3 linked regions of the Mus musculus genome follow. The protein of the gene in region 1 purifies or fractionates together with the protein of each later gene. This does not show direct contact. Links are inferred from orthologs where the notes say so. Each region holds a gene or a part of one and is shown on either strand. Other genes may lie near its edges.

Region 1 (5,772 bases):
AGAATTTCAATTTGTACTATCTCAAAAGTGTTCGGATTTCTTTAAATTTTAAGTGTTTTCTTCTTCCTCATTTTTGTTAATAGTATTTACCTTTAAGAGTCATTAACAATTCCTTGTGATATAGTATTAAATTTCTATTTATTTTCAGAAAAGTTAAACATATTTTAACAGAGGTGAGTTGTCACTATCTAAAATCAGCCATTGCTGGTAGCCTGTCATGTTTCCTTCGAGTTTAGAGACAAAGCACATTTTTACAGCTTTAACTCCAGTTCCATTTAGTCATTGTGTAGAATCCTGTACCATTTCCTCTTCCTTGTGACTAGATGTTTAGAATGACTGCCTCTTGTACATTTATTTTCTGTTAATTTTTCTTTCAGTACTAGGAATTGAACCCAGGGTCTCTTCACACACAGTACGCATGTGCTCCATCAGTGAGCAGCAGCCCAGCCCTTCTAGCTAATAGAATATTTTATATACATATGTACATATGTTTTAAATACCATAGATATTTACATTTGATGTGTGTCAGTTAATTATGTTTTGATATGTATTTAAAGCAAGTATACTTTTCATTGTACATTATATCTATATGAGCTCTTGCATATATAATGATTTTTGTACTAGTCATGGGTATAATGGCCCTGTATTTTGTTTTACACTGAGATTTATTAAGGTACTGTGACGTAATGATTTTGAAATGCTGTTAAATCATCTCTAGGTTTTTGTATGGGAAAAGGATTTTCTGTGTTCAAAGCAAGAGAAATAAATGATTTCAGAATAATTTCTTCTATAATTCAGGTTTTCTATAACAGTAATACTCCATTTTTTGTTTTCTTTATTTAATCCATAATGATTATGTTAATTTCTGCCACGACTATTGTGTGCCTGTCAATTTTTACCTTTACTCTTGTCTGAAAATAATATTTGTAGTTTTTAAAAATCATAAACGCAATGCATATTTATTCATCAAATTCACAATCTTATAAAAATAGAAAATAAGAATTATTTACAATTTCAGCTCTTACTAATAATTACCTTTATCATAATGGAGTATAGCCTTTCAGATTTTTTTCACACATACAGTCTACAAGCTTTTTGATGCTGACACCTACACACATGTATTGTTTCCATTTGTTAAGAAAACCATAAAAAATAACCCCAAATATCGTCTATTATTTTCTCCTAACTACAGTGCATTTAATGTATTTTTTAGAGACATGTAATACTACATGAATTAGCCACCATCTTTTAGACACAGGGATTATTTTATTGTATGGCAAAATCATAGTATTCCTGTCACAGACCCATTTAACTAGCTAAACGCTATTTTTTAAAATGCCACGTTGTTTATATATACTTTTCGAATTGATTATTAGGTCTTTCTAAACAAAGGTGCAAATCCTTAAAATGTCCATTTGTATTTTCAAACTGCCCCATTACAACAATTCATACTACGACTAGCATGAGAGTGCATTTTCTCGGCTCCTGGTCAACAAGGTTTAACGTTCTTTTTTTTTTTTTTATCGCTGCCAATATGATAAACCCGAAGGAAAAATCTCATTGTGTTTATTTGAATCCCTTTGATTAGGAGCGAGCCTCATCTTTTCAGAAGCCTGTTGGCCGTTTCTCGGCTTCTTTTGTAAAATGCTCGCTCCCGCCATGCCTTCCCTTCCCCCAACCGGGCGCTCATTCTCCCTTTTTGCTTTGTCAGAGTTCTTTACTATTCATTTTTCGTCCTTTGCCTGGGATCGGTTCAATTCAGGCTTTCATCCTTTCACTGCCTCCCAGATTGCGAACCCACATTCTCCATTGGTCTTTCAGTGGCTGCTAAAGAAGCTGCCTCCCTCTTCCTCCTCCTGGCCTCCTCCCTTCCCCCCTCGCCTCGCCCGCCTCGCCTTGGTCCCCTGGCTTTTCTCTCCAGCCTCCTTCCTTTTCCTTCTCTTCCCCCCTCTCTTTGTTTATTTCTCCCTCCCTCTCCCTCTCCCTCCCTCCGCCCCCCCTCCTCTGCAGGGCAGGAGTTTTGCGCTCGGCCGCGAGACGCTCGCTGGGCTGGCGCCGCGTCAGCAGGGGGCGGGGCGCGGCCGGGGGCGGGGCGGGGCGGGGCGGGGCGGGAGCGCGGGCGCCGCAGCTGCAGGAGTCGCTGGGAGTGCGCGCGGGCAGATCACAAGGCGGCGGCAGCGGAGACGGCCTGCAGGACCTGCTCTCTCAGCCCTCAGCCGAGGCCTACGCCGAGCCGAGTGCGCAGCCGACGACCGGGAGGAGCCGCAGCCTTCAACTCTGAGGTACTGTGATCCGCGCTGCCCGCCGGGCCGCCCCAGTCCGCTGCTGCGGCACCTCCTTCCCTCGCGCCCTCTTCGCTCGCCAGCGCCTTCCCTGTGAGCCTGCGTCACCGCGGCCGCCATGGCTGAGAACGGCGAGAGCAGCGGCCCCCCGCGCCCCTCCCGCGGCCCTGCGGCGGCCCCAGGCGCGGCCAGCCCGCCGGCCGAGCCCAAAATCATCAAAGTCACTGTGAAGACCCCCAAAGAGAAGGAGGAGTTCGCGGTGCCCGAGAACAGCACCGTGCAGCAGTTCAAGGAAGCGATTTCCAAACGCTTCAAATCGCAGACCGATCAGCTCGTGCTGATTTTCGCCGGAAAGATCCTGAAAGATCAAGATACCTTGATGCAGCATGGCATCCATGATGGACTGACTGTTCACCTGGTTATCAAAAGCCAGAACCGTCCGCAGGGCCAGGCCACCACGCAGCCCAGCACGACTGCGGGAACGAGCACGACGACCACGACCACCACCACGGCGGCGGCGCCGGCGGCGACGACATCATCGGCTCCCAGGAGTAGCTCCACACCTACCACCACGAATAGCAGCTCCTTTGGGCTGGGAAGCCTTTCCAGCCTTAGTAACCTGGGCTTGAACTCGCCCAACTTCACCGAGCTTCAGAACCAGATGCAGCAGCAGCTCCTGGCCAGCCCTGAGATGATGATCCAGATCATGGAAAATCCCTTTGTTCAGAGCATGCTTTCGAATCCTGATCTGATGAGGCAGCTCATCATGGCCAATCCACAGATGCAACAATTGATCCAGAGAAACCCAGAAATCAGCCACCTACTGAACAACCCAGATATAATGAGGCAGACGCTGGAAATCGCCAGGAATCCTGCCATGATGCAAGAGATGATGCGAAATCAAGACCTGGCTCTCAGTAATCTCGAAAGCATCCCAGGTGGCTACAATGCTCTGCGGCGCATGTACACTGACATTCAAGAACCTATGCTGAATGCCGCACAGGAGCAGTTTGGGGGCAACCCGTTTGCCACGGTGGGGAGCAGTTCCACCTCAGGGGAAGGTACTCAGCCCTCCCGCACGGAGAATCGTGATCCGCTGCCCAATCCTTGGGCACCACCGCCAACAACCCAGACGGCTGCGACCACCACCACCACCACGACCACAAGCAGTGGCAGTGGCTCTGGCAGCAGCTCCAGCAGCACCACCGCCGGGAACACCATGGCTGCAGCTAATTACGTGGCTAGCATCTTCAGCACCCCAGGAATGCAGAGCCTGCTGCAGCAGATAACTGAGAATCCCCAGCTGATTCAGAATATGCTGTCTGCGCCCTACATGCGGAGCATGATGCAGTCGCTGAGCCAGAATCCAGATATGGCGGCCCAGATGATGCTGAGTAGCCCGCTGTTCACTTCGAATCCTCAGCTGCAGGAGCAGATGCGTCCACAGCTCCCGAATTTCCTGCAGCAGATGCAGAATCCAGAAACCATCGCGGCCATGTCAAACCCGAGAGCGATGCAAGCGCTAATGCAGATCCAGCAGGGGCTACAGACTCTAGCCACTGAAGCACCTGGCCTCATTCCCAGCTTCGCTCCAGGTGTGGGGATGGGAGTGCTGGGAACCGCCATAACCCCTGTGGGCCCAGTCACTCCCATAGGGCCCATCGGCCCTATAGTTCCTTTCACCCCCATAGGCCCCATCGGGCCTATAGGACCCACTGGCCCTGCAAGCTCCCCCGGCTCCACCGGCACTGGCATCCCGCCTGCAACCACTGTGTCCAGCTCTGCACCTACTGAAACCATAAGTCCAACCTCGGAATCTGGACCCAACCAGCAGTTCATTCAACAAATGGTGCAGGCTCTCACTGGAGGAAGCCCTCCACAGCCGCCGAATCCTGAAGTGAGATTTCAGCAGCAACTGGAACAGCTCAACGCCATGGGGTTCTTAAACCGCGAAGCAAACTTGCAGGCCCTAATAGCAACAGGAGGCGACATCAACGCGGCCATTGAGAGGCTGCTGGGCTCTCAGCCATCCTAATTACGTTTCTGTACCTTGAAAAAAAATGTATCTTATTTTTGATAATGGCTCTTAAATCTTTAAACACACAAAATTGTGCTTTACTTTTATTTTGATTCTTTTAAATCTGTCTACCTATAAATCTAATAGGATGCATTTTAAGGTGGAGTCCCTCCCTCCCTCCCTCCCTCCCTCCCTGCTCCTCCTCCCCCCACCCTCTCCCTTCCCTTCCAGCCTGCCCTCTCCCCTCTTTGTTTCCTTCATTCCTTTCTTTTCTTCTTTTGATTTCCTTCCTTCTCTGATTTGAATGGTGGGAATCAATACTGTTTCACTCAAAGGTGTTGCATGCAAACACTTCTCTTTATTCTGCATTTATTGTGATTTTTGGAAACAGGTATCAGCCTTCACAGTTGGGTGAACAAGTTTTGTCCTACAGATGTCCAGTTTATTTGCATTTTAAACATTAGCCTATGATAGTAATTTAATGTAGAATGAAGATATTAAAAAAACAGAAGCAAATTATTTGAAGCTCTCTAATTTGTGGTAAAATATTGCTTATTGTGACTTTGGCATGTATTTTTGCTAGCAAATGCTGTAAGATTTATACCATTCATTGATCGTTTTTGCTATTTGTACACAGTACAGTAAGCACAATTGGAATTGTACATCTAGAAGTATTACTGTAGAATCTCTGAGCAGAATATGTGTAACCAAAATAAGAAAGAATATAAGAAATATTCCTGAAGCTAGGTATGTCTCACAATTTTGTAGAATCTTACAGCATATTTGATAAATTTCTCAGTGAAAATGTTGGCTAGGCAAGTTCAGTTAAAATATAGTAGAAATGTTTATCCTGGTTTCTCTAAGTATACATTAAATTGTACAGAAACCTTACAGTGTAACATTGTGTCAACAGTTGCAGATTGATTGTATATGACCTTAATCTTTGTGCAGCCTGAAGGATCAGTGTAGTGACTCCAGGAAAGTGCTTTTTATCTAAGAGTTCCTCAGCTTCTCCCATGAAGAGACCTTCATATGCATTTTGATTTGTAATTGGAAATGTAACTTTTACTGGAAGTGTCATGTGATGTTTGCATTACTTTTAACTGCTATGTATAAAGGAAAGTGTATCTTTTGGCTCTATCAGTTATTTCTCTTGTGCACAGGGAAAAATGCATTAAAATGACTAAAAAAATAAAAAAATAATAAAAAATGGAGAAAGCTCTTTTATTTTGCCTTTTGGCCCTAGAATCACATCTAGAAGGGTTAGCTCCCCTCACAAGTGTTTATTTACAGGATTGTACTATGGGAAATTATTTTTGACATGCACATTTAGATGTTCTAATTATTGCCCCCAAAGGTTAACCAATTATTAATTAGTATTTCCCCTGCCCCCCCACCAGTATATTGGGAATGTGACTGGGCTTATTTTAAATAGATAAAATATGGGAAACGATAGTATCCCGGTGTCTTTTA
Region 2 (6,081 bases), on another chromosome or scaffold:
TTGTGAGAGGCTCAAACAGAGAAGAATGGTCTGAAAACTCAGAGGTCCAGGAAATCCTTTCACAGCTCAGATGAGAGGGTCCCAAGGGACCTGGTATAATGACACAGGTTTAGGTCACCACATAGAGAGAGGGTCAAGGTGAAGGTCAGATCAGGAAGAAGGCCAGGACAGAGGAGCTGCAGACAGAGCAAGAACTGAGAAGAATGCTGTGGCTGGAGTCCAGGACCCAGCCAGACATATGGCAGCCTGCTCTGAGCCTCTGATGTCTTCAGCAGATGGATGCCCATAGCATCCACACCTCCCTAGGAGTCAGGTTACAATGTAACCTTAGAAGTCATCAGGGAGCAGGGGCTTGGCCTCTGCTAGTTCTGCTTTCTCAGAGCAAAGCTACCTCCCTGGGTGATCCCCTAAGGAACTGGGAAGGTGGCTGTCTCAGCTCCCTCACCCTGGGCCGCACCTGCAGGAGCTGAGGGTTTTCCTGACCCAGCTGCTGGAGCAGAGCAGGCAGGAGCGCTGGGTTCTGTTGAATCACTTGCCGCATGTTCTGGAACTGAGGCTGGTCCCGCAGGAACTCCAGGGGGTTCTCCCCTGCTGGTGGCAGGAAGAAGTGTGGTCAGAGCCCTCCCTGCAGGGGCTTCGGAATCCAGACTGCAGATGCCCATGAGGACACCATCCAACCTGCTCACCTGCTTCTGTGGCCGGCTGCTCAGGCGCCTGGCTTTCCTGGACAGAACCATGTTCAGGCTCAGGGCTTCCTGGAATTCCCTGTCAGGGATCCTGCTTTTTAGTTCTTTCAAACAGATCCCCTTCCCCTCTCCCAAGTGAGCAGCCTGACAGGACAGGAAGGTCTCATCCCTGCCCTCCACGTTCTCTGTCCAGCCTCTCTGGGAAGACTTCAATGGCAACACTCAATACACAAAAGCCTATGGGGTAGGCTCCACCTCCACTGCCTGTTGAGGCACGGAGACCTGGAGACTCCCAGGAGGCAGTGATGGCCCCCTCACCGTGAGCAAGTACTCCACAGCTCGGTGGGGGTTGTTGTAGCTGGCCCTCAATGCGGCCACAACCCGCTCCCGCTCGTAGCCCATGGACATGATCTCAGTCAGCATCGTCTCATATTCAGAGCCAGTCACTGTGGAGGGAGCAGCAGGGCCGGGGTCACCAGAGGCACAGGAGGACAGCTCCCAGACCCTCCCAGACCCAGACAAGGCTGTCAAAGGCTGATGGCTGGGGCTTCCAGTCGCCTCTGCCCTGAGGACCACCCACCCACCTAATGTGGAAGCTGCGTCTTCCTCTCGCCCGCTGCTACCTGAAGAGGGAACAGAGCTGCAAATTCAAGAGAGAGAAATCGGACCCTGGCTTCTGGTGGCTTGCCCTCCCCGAAAGTGCCTGGGACCACATAGGTGGGTACTGGAAGGCACAGGAAGACAGAGTGGGTACAGGGTAAGCTACTGCCCTTTCCTTACCCAGAAATGGATTCTGGAGATGTTGTGGTGGTTGACTCCTCTGATGGGCTCTTGTCCTCTCTGCTGGTAGGTGGGGGATGAGACATGCCTGATGCCAGGACTGGAGGGAAAGGTGTGGAGGGCTCCGGGACAGCAGTGGGTGAGGCCTCTGGGGGTGCCGGGATACCCTGGCCAGCTTTGGCCTGTGACAACAAGAAACGAGAATCAGGCAAGCAGCATCCCTATCAAGCCTTGCCACCCTGCCCCATCATGGCCCCACCCTGCCTAAGGCTAATCTCTCCTGGGCATACAAGCTCTTTGCCAGCATCCCAGCTAATCTCCCCACCTTGGTCACCATGACAACCACAAAGTTCTTCTCATCTATATGGTATTCCTTGATGGGAACATCGTCACTCAAGATCTTGCCAGCATAGATGAGTTTCTGTCCAGCCACGGGGAAAGCATCTCTACCCTTCTCAGCTTCTATCTTCTCCTTCAGCACCTTTACCTAGAGTAAGGAGTACAGGTATTAAACACAGAAGTTTAATAGTACAGTGTGCGTGCATTTATAAATAGCACTAACACACCAAGACACCCTCAGTGAAATCCAGGCATAGTTGTGCACACTTATAATCCCAGCACTTAGGAGAGACAAGTGGATCTCTTTAAGTTCCAGGCTAGCCAGGACTATATAGTGAGACCATTTCAAATAGAATACAATGACCATCACGAACCCTTAGGTTCCCTTCTTCTTCCCTTTTGTTTAGAGAAAAAGCTTTGCTTTCAATCCTATGAGATTCCTATTCAATCTATCGAGCTGACAGCAGTCTATTACATGCCAGACACGGGAACTGTTCACCGTGTGTGTATATGTGTGTGTGTGTAATGGTAGTGGTGGTTTGGGGACAGACCCCTAGCTCAGGCCTTGTATATTCAAAAGCTCCATCCCCAACCTGTTTTACAACTTGTTTTACAGAGGCCTGTGGAACAGAACAAACACAAGTCAGTGTTCTCATGAAGAAGACACTGATGTGAGAAGAAAAGCAAACTTGTATTTCCAATGGGATGTGGTTAGGAGGGGAAACAGTAATAAGAAAATGAAACGGTGTATCCATCGCTGGCCTCAAACAGTAACTTTTCTGTACTTACTGAGGTCATCTTTCTTCCCTCCATTTTTGGAACAGGATTTTATTCTGTACTCAACTCCAGGCTTGCCTAAAACATCATAGCCCAGGCTGGCCTAGAACTCCAGGTAATCTCTGCTCAGAGATTATGAACATGACTACCAAGCTTAGACTTCACTGAGGGTACACCAATGGCTTCAACCTATGTTTTGAGAAGGTTTAGGGGAGGTGGCCCAAGACAGCAATATCAGTTACTTGGAGGTTAAGTAAAGAAGGTTCACATGAGCCCAGAAGAACAAGACTAGACTCCACTCTCAAAAAGCAAAACCAAACAAAAGTTCATACAGCATGTTTAGGCTGCTGTTATGTGAAATGGAGAAAAAAAAAAATCTTGTCACTGTCATTATTGGCTGTGACCGTGGCAAAGTTCCTTAACTCCGTGGTTGTCAAAAGGGGAAAGTCAGGAGTCCCCAAACGACAACACTGTTTTGCAGACTCAGCAAGATGACACTAATACTCTGGTAAAGAATAAACTGGTAAAGAATAAACGGCCAACAAAGACGGACCACCAAAACTATTAAGATTAAGACCATTTATTATTATCATCATTGTAGTCACCAGTCGGCACCTCGTTGGCACTGAGGGCAAACTGTGCCACCTGAGCAGCTTGCAGGCTGGGAACGCGGAGCCCGCAGCTGACACGGGAGCCAGACCTGGGAACTCCCAGGGACTGGCCCGGGAACAGCGCCCGAGCCGCCGGGGCAGGGCAGGGCCGATCGGGGGGATCCGAGGAGGTCGGGCTGCTGGGGGAGGGCAGGGCCTGGCCACGGCGTCCTCTCCGCCCCTCCCGTTGGATCCCGGCATCCCTGCCCCCACCCACCCCGGCACCCGGTCGCTCCCGCCCCCGGGCTCCGGCCCGCACCGTCTCGTCAGGTTCCATGCGGATCTTGAAGGTCTGCTGCTGCAACGTTTTAAGGGTGATGGTGACGGCCATGGCGGGGCCGGAGCAATGCGGCAGCCCCGGGATCCTCGTACTACATGCAACTCACGCCGCCGCCATCTTAGCGCCCAGCCGCGCCGCGCCAAGCACTTCCGGGGCAAGTGTGCAGCGCCCGCCGATCGTCAGCGCCGGTGACACCCTCCTCGACCTCTAGAGCATGCGCGGCTGCACCTTACCTTAGACATGCGCAATCTTAGCTTTGTGAGCTTTTGCTGTGTGCACCAGCATTCCGCTGTCTTGGTGACATCATTTCTGCTAACAGTGATGTCATTATACCCACAAAATGGCTCCTAAGGACTTTTAAAGTTTTTAAGGTGTTTGTTGTAGATTTCTGCTCCTAAGTTATTTTTCATACATTCTGCCTATTTCAAGTGACCCAATTTGGATCTGGTCAAAATAAAAGGAATCTTAGCAGAGGACTGCCTAGAAGTTACCATCAATCAATGTAGAGGAGGGCAACTATGTGACCCCATTTTCAAGGACCATCTTAATTTTTGGAATAAATTTACACTTCTAGTTCATGAGTTCCCCACATCTTTGTAATCCTGCAATGACCTACCTATTCATCCAAACATTTTCAAGGTTCTTTTATATTAAATATGTAATTCTCCCCTCCATAAATTTTCCTTACTTACACCAACTCTTAAGGTACCTACATTTTTCGTGGGGGGAAGGGGTAGTATTCATGAAGCTTTAGACCACCCTCACATACCAAAAAGTAATGAAAATGTCAGACTCAGGATAGGGCAGTTCATCAGGGTGATTTAAGGGACTCTCAAACAGAACTAACATCACCATCCTCTTAGATGCTTGCTTTGCCCAGTGTTTCTATCCACACCAATGATCAGGCAATTAACCAAGGCCTGCCTCCCTCCCTTCACTTGAGTCTAGACTCCAGAATTGAAAGCTAGATCACAACTTTCTTGTGAAGAACACAGGCTTCCTCCTGCCCATTCTTCAACCTACTACACTAGAGTATAAAAGGCAGCCTTGAGACTCAACAATGAGTCTCTTCTTTTCCTTGTGGTGGGGATGGAACCCAGGCCATGCTAGCTAAGTGTCCAACTGAACTACATAACCCAATCCTGGAATCTATCTTTATCAGCTCAGTCCTAGAACCATGGGCCCTTGGGGAAAGTAGATCACTGTCCCTGAGCTCAGTCAGTCCCTTTGACTATTATCTACCAGCATGCACCCCACTACTGTGAACTTTGCTCAGCTTTCCTAGGTGTCAGTCCAACAGATCCATCCCACTTTTAACCAAGATGGCTAATATTTGAATTCACTAAATTCTAGTCAGTCTGTCAATGAGGTCTGTGCTAGAATCAAAACTTACACGTCTATGAGTTTAGGATCAAGACCTGATGGCTACTCTCCCATTTAGAGACTATGGGATACATATAAATGACATTTCTGAGACTCTGCAAACTCCAGTAGCTGAAACATACGTCACCCGCACCTGAGAAAGGCTGCTTTTAGCTCCTGATGTACATCCTCCCAGAGAAGGAGACACAATAGGGAAGACACAAAACTTAATTTAATAGAAATTTTGTTTGTAGTTCTTACACTCTCAGTGTGAGCTGTGCTAGAACTGGCTGCCCCACAAGTGGCCCAGTCCTGGGGGCAAGGGAGAAAGGGGATGAGAAGAGCCCCATTCTTCCTCAGTGCGGGGGGAGGGAAAACACCACCCCCTTCTCCTGCCCTCCTCTGAGATGCAGGAAGGAGAGCAGATGAAATCTCAAGCCTAGGGCTTCTCCTCTACACCCCTGTTCCTAGAGTTGGAGGGTAGTGACCAAAAGATGGAGAAAGGGAGGGACAGAAGGAAAAGATGTTGATTCAAAAATGAGAAACCAGATGAGGGCTGAAGGAGAATTAAAGACAAACACCAGTAAAAAAAAAAAGGGGGGGGGGTAATGGGGGAGGCAGGGGAACAAAATCAGAATCTACCCCAGATCTGAACCTGCCTGGAAAAAATGAAAAGTTCTTGAGTCTCATAGAGACATTATTGGGAGCAGCCAGCTCTGCGGCAGGGTGTTCAGGCCTCAGTCCAGCCCTGAAGGCAGGTGGTGTGGCCTCTACAGCTCATCCTTGGCTTGGCCAGGGGATTCTTCCTCATCTTCCTCCTTCTCATCTTCTTCGTCCTCATCTTCATCTCTGTCATCATCATCCTCTTTATCCTCAGCTTCTTCTTCCTCTTTACGCTTCTTGTCCTCTTCTTCTTCCTTAAGCCTCTGCTCCTCATCCTGCTTGTCCTTCATCTGCTTCTCTGCAGCCTGTGAGGACCAACCAACCATATCTTTTAATACCTGGCTCAAATCTGTCTGCCAGTCCTCCCAGATGACCCCTAGAGTAAACAAAGAGCTCTGACCCACCTTGGTAACACCCCACGTCTCATTGCCAAACTCCTCTGCATAGGCCTCATCATTGGTGATGAGGAAATTGTCAAAGATTGTCCCGGACTTGACCTGGGAAAGAACGGAAAGACAGGTGGTCAGCAGTGACTTCTGGCAGT
Region 3 (5,998 bases), on another chromosome or scaffold:
CCACTGGACGTCCTGAGACTGGAGTTATGGGACGATTGTGAGCCACCATATGGGTGCTGGGAATGGAACCCAGGTCTTCTGGAAGAGTAACCTGTGCTCTTAACAGCTAAGTTATCTCTCCAGCCTCTGCGTGCATATATTTTTGCTGAGCCATATAAATTGGACTGCCTTTTATATTCTGCCTTGTCTTTTCTTCTTGATGTCAGAATTGATATATATTGGTATGAACCTACTCACTTGATCAAAATAGTGTGGGAGAAAGGACACTCCCTGTCACTTTATTTACTTATTGTCTCCTTCAAAAGCCAGTTTTAGAAAAAAAAAATACAACAGAAAATTCACATAATAACCACACCATTTTCTCCAAGAAAATTTGGAAGACTGTCACTTTAGGCATTAATTCACATAACTGTACATGTATTTGTAAAGCATATTCATTTTTTTTTAGGGTGCTGGGAGTTAAACTCAGCTGTACGTTAGGCAAGTATTCTACCAATGTTATACTCCCAGCATGAGAATAACAATTTAAAAGAATACAATTACCATATGCCACATTTTGGATTAACATCTTTAGTTATATTGTCTATTTAATACCCATGACAACCTTTTTACATATGTACAATTATGCTGATTTTATGAAGACATCAAGATATCACCACCCCTCCACCACAGAGATCTGAGATAGTCCTAGCAGACTTCAAAGTTCCTACCTTGGTCGCTGCAGAAACTTTATCTTGTGTTCTACATCTCTAGCCCATTTCCTTCCAGTTCTGCTGGCCTCCTTTCTCTGATAGAAGTGAGACAAACTCTTTGCTACCTTAGAATCATGCACTTGCTGTTTAATCTCTTCAGAAGGCTCTCCACGTGGTGGCATAATGGGGCCCCTTCTGCTCTCAGACATGTTCAAAATTTATTCTCCTCCTTATCCCACAATATCCTTTTATTTCAATTGTAGCATTTACTACATTAAGGTATTTTTATGATTTATTATCATTTATGCATCTGTGCATGTGGACCTCATGCCAACTTTGAGTGGGTCCCATGAATCCAATTCAGGTCACCTGGCTTCCATGACAAGCGCGCCTTTGCCCACTGAACCATCTCTCTGGCCCCTATTCAAATCATTTCTAATTTCCTTATTACATGTTAGAATATTTTCTAATATTCTGATTACAAGCAGGTCAGTGCTTTATTGGGTAACTGAAAATTTCCTACTTATGCTCATGCAATTGATATCAAAAGGCTGCATCTTTGGGCTGGAAAGTGGTTTACTGGTTATGTGAGCTTCCGGCTCTTCCTAAAGATCTCTGTGTGTTTGTGGAGTGCATTCATTCAGTTTTAGGGTGCTGGGGGTTAATAAACTCAGGGCTTCTGTGTGCTAGGCAAATACTCTACCAAAGGTACACTCCCAGCCTGTCAATAATAATTTAAAAGAACACAGTCACTGAGCCTAGAGAGATAGCTCAAAGGGTATTCGTACTTGTTGCTCTTGGAGAGGATCTGGGTTCGGTTCCCAGTATCCACATAGAGGCTCACAACCGTCTATAATTCCAGTTTCAGGGGAATCATGTGGTTTTTTCTGACCTCCTCCAGCACCAGGCACACACGTGCTGCACACACATACATGCAGGCAAGATATTTATATGCATAAAATAAATAAGATTTTTTTTTTTAAATCATAGCTGCTTGTAACTCCAGAGCCAAGAAATCCGATGCCCTCTACTGGCTTCTGTGAGCACTTGCCCTCCTAAGGTATACACTAAGGCACACACATAAACACATAAATAAAAATAAATAATTTGGGAAAGAAAAAGGCTGAATTTGAAAATGTGACTCAGTTGGGAAAGCTCTTGCTTAGCATGCCGGAGACTCTGAATTCGATTTCCACACAGCACATACTGAATGTTCGAGTTTGCCTGTAATTCCACTAGGAAGCCGGTGGTGGGGGGGGGGAGGACCAGAGTTCAAGCCCAGCGCTGCAGAATGAGTGCTAAGGCAGTGTGGATTACAAGACACTGTCTCAAAAAAAAAAAAATCTTGTCATTTCCTCTTGCTTTTCAGTTTATTACAGATCCTTTGGCGTTCTAAGAAAGCAGTGACTTAATATTGAGCCAGCCAGTAGCTAAGTCAGGCATTGCTCACTCTGGCCTGCAGGGGACAGTGTGACCGGAGACGATCTTCTGCGCTTTCGAGGCTTTCTGCCGCTCTAGGTGACTGACTTCGGCGCCCGGAGCCAGAGGCGGGCCAGCCGGAAGGGGCGGAGCCAGTCACGGTCCCGCCCCAGGCCGCCTCTGCGCCCTCGCCCCGCCCCCTCCCCCGCCCGGGCTGCCATGGCCCTTCCCGGCATCCCCTATGAGCGACGGCTTCTCATCATGGCGGACCCTAGAGATAAGGCGCTTCAGGACTATCGCAAGAAGCTGCTAGAGCACAAGGAGATTGACGGCCGTCTTAAGGAGCGTGAGTGAGCCTTGACACACTCTCTAGTGCCTGGACCGGCTTCGGTCTCTGATAGAGCGGAGGCTTCGGCTGAGCCCGAAAACAGCGCCTGGCTTGGGAAGGCCCGAGTCCAGGGACGAGGCGCTTTGTCATCCCGCCCCGCGCTGGGGTGCAGCACCGCCTCGGCCGTGGGTATGGCCCCAGTCCCAGTCCGGTGGCATAGAGAACAGCCACAGTTCTGAGGTGGAAGAGGGGAAGATTAGAGGAGTGAGGTACAAGTGGGCTGGGGACATATTCCGGGTGCAGGAAGGCAGGCTTGGAGTCTCGGGACCCGGGGATGGGAGGACGCTTGAGTCAAAGAAGCTCCAGCCGGACGCGGGACTCACGGAGGCGGCTTGTACTTGGGGTAGAAGGGGGCTCAGTGGTTGTAATAGCCTTTCTCGTCTTCCCTCAGGCGTCATACTGAGTACCAAGTTTTCTGTATACCCTGAACATTCACGTTTTGAAAACCCTGCGTGATTTAATTAAATGAGAGAATACCGCAGCCTAGGATTCGGTGAAGAATTGCGTTGGTTGACTTAATTTAGTATGGACAACCAGAGTAAGCCAGGTGATCTTAGTGTAGCTATGGGAGGCTTGATTCACCTTATCGTTTAGTTTTGTAGCAAATCTGAAGGTGGCAGGATGTCACTATCGGTTAAAAATGTAACTTAAAAATATTTCCTACCAAGAAAATAGATATGATACTTTCTCTGTTACATTTCATTTTAAAACATGCCACCTATCCACTACAAACTGGAAAAAAAAATCTTATTTTGTGGTTTGAAACAGTAGGTTTGAAACCTAAGGTAAAAGAGACCTAAGTAAAAAATTTTATGCAGTTGTTTAATTTAAAATGTCAAAATTTTATTATTTCAGTAAGGGAACAATTAAAAGAACTTACCAAGCAGTATGAAAAGTCTGAAAATGATTTGAAGGCACTACAAAGTGTTGGACAGGTAGGTGATAAAGTTTGAAAGTATGTTGCCATTTCTAAGCTATTGGCAAAAGGTAATGCCCCTTTTTTCTTTTCCAGATTGTAGGTGAAGTGCTAAAACAGTTAACAGAAGAAAAATGTAAGTGGATTAACTTACTAATTATTAAAAAATAAAAAGCCCCAGTTCTTTGCCAGCTTTTGAAATGCCCATTTTATTTTGATTTTTGAGGCCAGGTACTTCTATGTAGCTCTGGATGCAGCTTCCTATGTAGACTAGACTGGCCTTGAACTCACAAGCCTTTTGCTTTCCAGTGCTGGAATTTTAGGCATGTGTGACATTATGGAAGGCTGTTTTAATTCATTCATATATATACATATACACATACATATATACATATATATGTGTGTGTGTGTGTGTGTGTATATACATACATACACACACACACTCTAAAGATGTATTGTTCTTTGTAAGTACACTTAGCTGTCTTCAGACAGCGAACAGAGGAACAGAGAAGGGAGTCAGATCTCATTACAGATGGTTGTGAGCCACCATGTGGGTTCTGGGATTTGAACTCAAGACCTTCAGGAAGAGCAGTCAGTGCTCTTAACCGCTGAGCCATCTCTCCAGCCCTTCTAATTCTTAATTCATCTATTTATGTATGTGTGTCTGTCTCTATGTCTGTGTCCCCTGCACTCATGTGTATATGTGTATGCATGTGTGTGTGCATGCATCAAAGGACTACTGTGGGAGTTGCTTTTCTGCTTCTGCCATGTAAGATGGGACCCAGAGATTGGCCTGAGTAAGATCAATGAGCTTGGGAGTAAGTGCCTTTATTTAATAACCCATCAGGATAGCCATGAAGTGCCTAGTATTCTAATGACAACAATACAAGGAGTTGGTCTTTGTTTACATAAGCTAAATTTTGTATTTACTGTTCTTAGTGGTCAGACATAAAACTACACTCACCATAGATGTAGATGTATTTGTTTTCTAACTTTGTTTTTCAATTTGTTCTAGTCATCGTTAAAGCAACAAATGGACCAAGATACGTTGTAGGTTGTCGTCGTCAGGTAATGTTTTCTGATGGGGCATTGTGCCCATAACTCCCAAGAGTGCTTTGTTCAGACACAGCAAATGACTAGCAAAGCCTGGAATTTCTTAGTCCCTAGTGTTTCATATCTGTACTTAGAAATCAAATCATTTTAAAACTAGAAAGAAAATGGTTTAGTATGATGTCTTTCTTGAAGAGCATATCAATTACCCATGTTTTACATTTAAACATTCAAAAATGTTGCTTACAGACTCAGCGGTAGTTAACTTTTTAGTCATTTGGACCAGAATGGGCAAATTGAAATACCTCTGCATTTCATTTTGCAGACTTTACAGTGTAAGTGAGTAGTTTAGAATGAGACAGTAGCATTTGCAATTTATAAACCATTCTATTCTTTAGGAAGTGTCTTAAGCATTTGCTGAAGCACTTTTTCTGGGAGTATTTGTCATATTGAGTTTACGTTTTCATTGTTGGTTTTGTTTTTTGTAACTGGATCTTGCTATGTAGCCTATAGTGCCTTTAAACTAACAATACTGGTACCTCAGCCTCCTGAGTACCAGGACAGTATTTGCCATTATGCCGGGTTCAGGTTTTAAAACGTTGATATAACATGACTCTAGAATAATATTTAACATTGAGGCTAAAGCTAATCTTAGGATTTCAGCATATAACTAGATAGTTTTGTAATCGAATACTACAAGCCTAGGAGCTGGTGAGTGGCTCAGCTGTTGAGAGCACGGGAGCTCTTCCAGAGGAACTGGGTTTGATTCTCAGCACTCAACAAGGGCTCACAATCATCTATACCTCTATTTCCAAGGGCTCTGGTGTCCTCTTCTCGTCTCTACAGCCACCTGCATGGTAACACAGCATATATGCAGACAAAACACCCATATACATAAAAATGAAGATTTAGAAAGTATTATAGGCCCAGGTTTGGGGATGTAGCACAGTAGCAAAATACATGGCAAGCACATGAGACACCTGGTGAACCCTACTAATGAAAATGGAGTTTTGTTATGTCTTAGTTAGCTTTTGCATTCCTTTCAAGGCCCTCTGGATGCCAAAAATTGGCATTTCTAAGATACTGTTTTGAAAGAGTTTCTTTTGAACTCACTCTGTAGACCAGACTGGCCTCAAACTCAGAAATCCACCTGCCTCTGCCTCCCAAGTGCTGGGATTAAAGGTGTGCGCCACCACTGCCCGGCTATAAAGGTCTTTTTATTTAGTGTTTTGCCTATTTTTACGCGCGCGCGTGTGTGTGTGTGTGTGTGTGTGTGTGTGTGTATTATATATGTGGTACATGCATGTGATTGTGTAATGCACCTATAGGAAGGCCAGAGCAGGACATCATTCTCTGTGTTACTGCTTTGAGACAGGGTCTCATAGAACTGGAGGAAGTGTGTGTGTGTGTGTGTGTGTGTGTGTGTGTGTGTATTATATATGTGGTACATGCATGTGATTGTGTAATGCACCTATAGGAAGGCCAGAGCAGGACATCATTCTCTGTGTTACTGCTTTGAGACAGGGTCTCATA

The links. Proteins that work in one complex are often made in the same cells at the same time.
Region 2: the proteins of Ubqln2 (region 1) and Rad23a purify together in Homo sapiens (affinity purification with mass spectrometry; 3 studies listed by BioGRID and IntAct, with this or other methods). This does not show direct contact. The link is inferred for Mus musculus from reciprocal best matches to the Homo sapiens genes UBQLN2 and RAD23A.
Region 3: the proteins of Ubqln2 (region 1) and Psmc6 purify together in Homo sapiens (affinity purification with mass spectrometry, with the first as the bait; 3 studies listed by BioGRID). This does not show direct contact. The link is inferred for Mus musculus from reciprocal best matches to the Homo sapiens genes UBQLN2 and PSMC6.

Annotation. Positions count from the first base shown.
Region 1 is NC_000086.7:153,496,054-153,501,825, forward strand, and holds Ubqln2 (ubiquilin-2), read left to right. Parts: upstream 1-2,178; 5' UTR 2,179-2,400; coding exon 2,401-4,317; 3' UTR 4,318-5,509; downstream 5,510-5,772. UniProt on the Homo sapiens protein: Plays an important role in the regulation of different protein degradation mechanisms and pathways including ubiquitin-proteasome system (UPS), autophagy and the endoplasmic reticulum-associated protein degradation (ERAD) pathway.
Region 2 is NC_000074.6:84,837,003-84,843,083, forward strand, and holds the start of Rad23a (UV excision repair protein RAD23 homolog A), read right to left. Parts: upstream 3,651-6,081; 5' UTR 3,564-3,650; coding exon 3,492-3,563; intron 1,954-3,491; coding exon 1,792-1,953; intron 1,649-1,791; coding exon 1,467-1,648; intron 1,327-1,466; coding exon 1,271-1,326; intron 1,133-1,270; coding exon 1,005-1,132; intron 766-1,004; coding exon 687-765; intron 592-686; coding exon 458-591; coding exon of another isoform or gene 377-457; exon of another isoform or gene 1-376. Other genes in the region: Calr (calreticulin precursor), read right to left, coding at 5,645-5,842, 5,942-6,034. UniProt on the Homo sapiens protein: Multiubiquitin chain receptor involved in modulation of proteasomal degradation. Binds to 'Lys-48'-linked polyubiquitin chains in a length-dependent manner and with a lower affinity to 'Lys-63'-linked polyubiquitin chains.
Region 3 is NC_000080.6:45,327,476-45,333,473, forward strand, and holds the start of Psmc6 (26S proteasome regulatory subunit 10B), read left to right. Parts: upstream 1-2,348; 5' UTR 2,349-2,372; coding exon 2,373-2,457; exon of another isoform or gene 2,458-2,628; intron 2,629-3,354; coding exon 3,355-3,434; intron 3,435-3,511; coding exon 3,512-3,551; intron 3,552-4,430; coding exon 4,431-4,483; intron 4,484-5,998. UniProt on the Homo sapiens protein: Component of the 26S proteasome, a multiprotein complex involved in the ATP-dependent degradation of ubiquitinated proteins.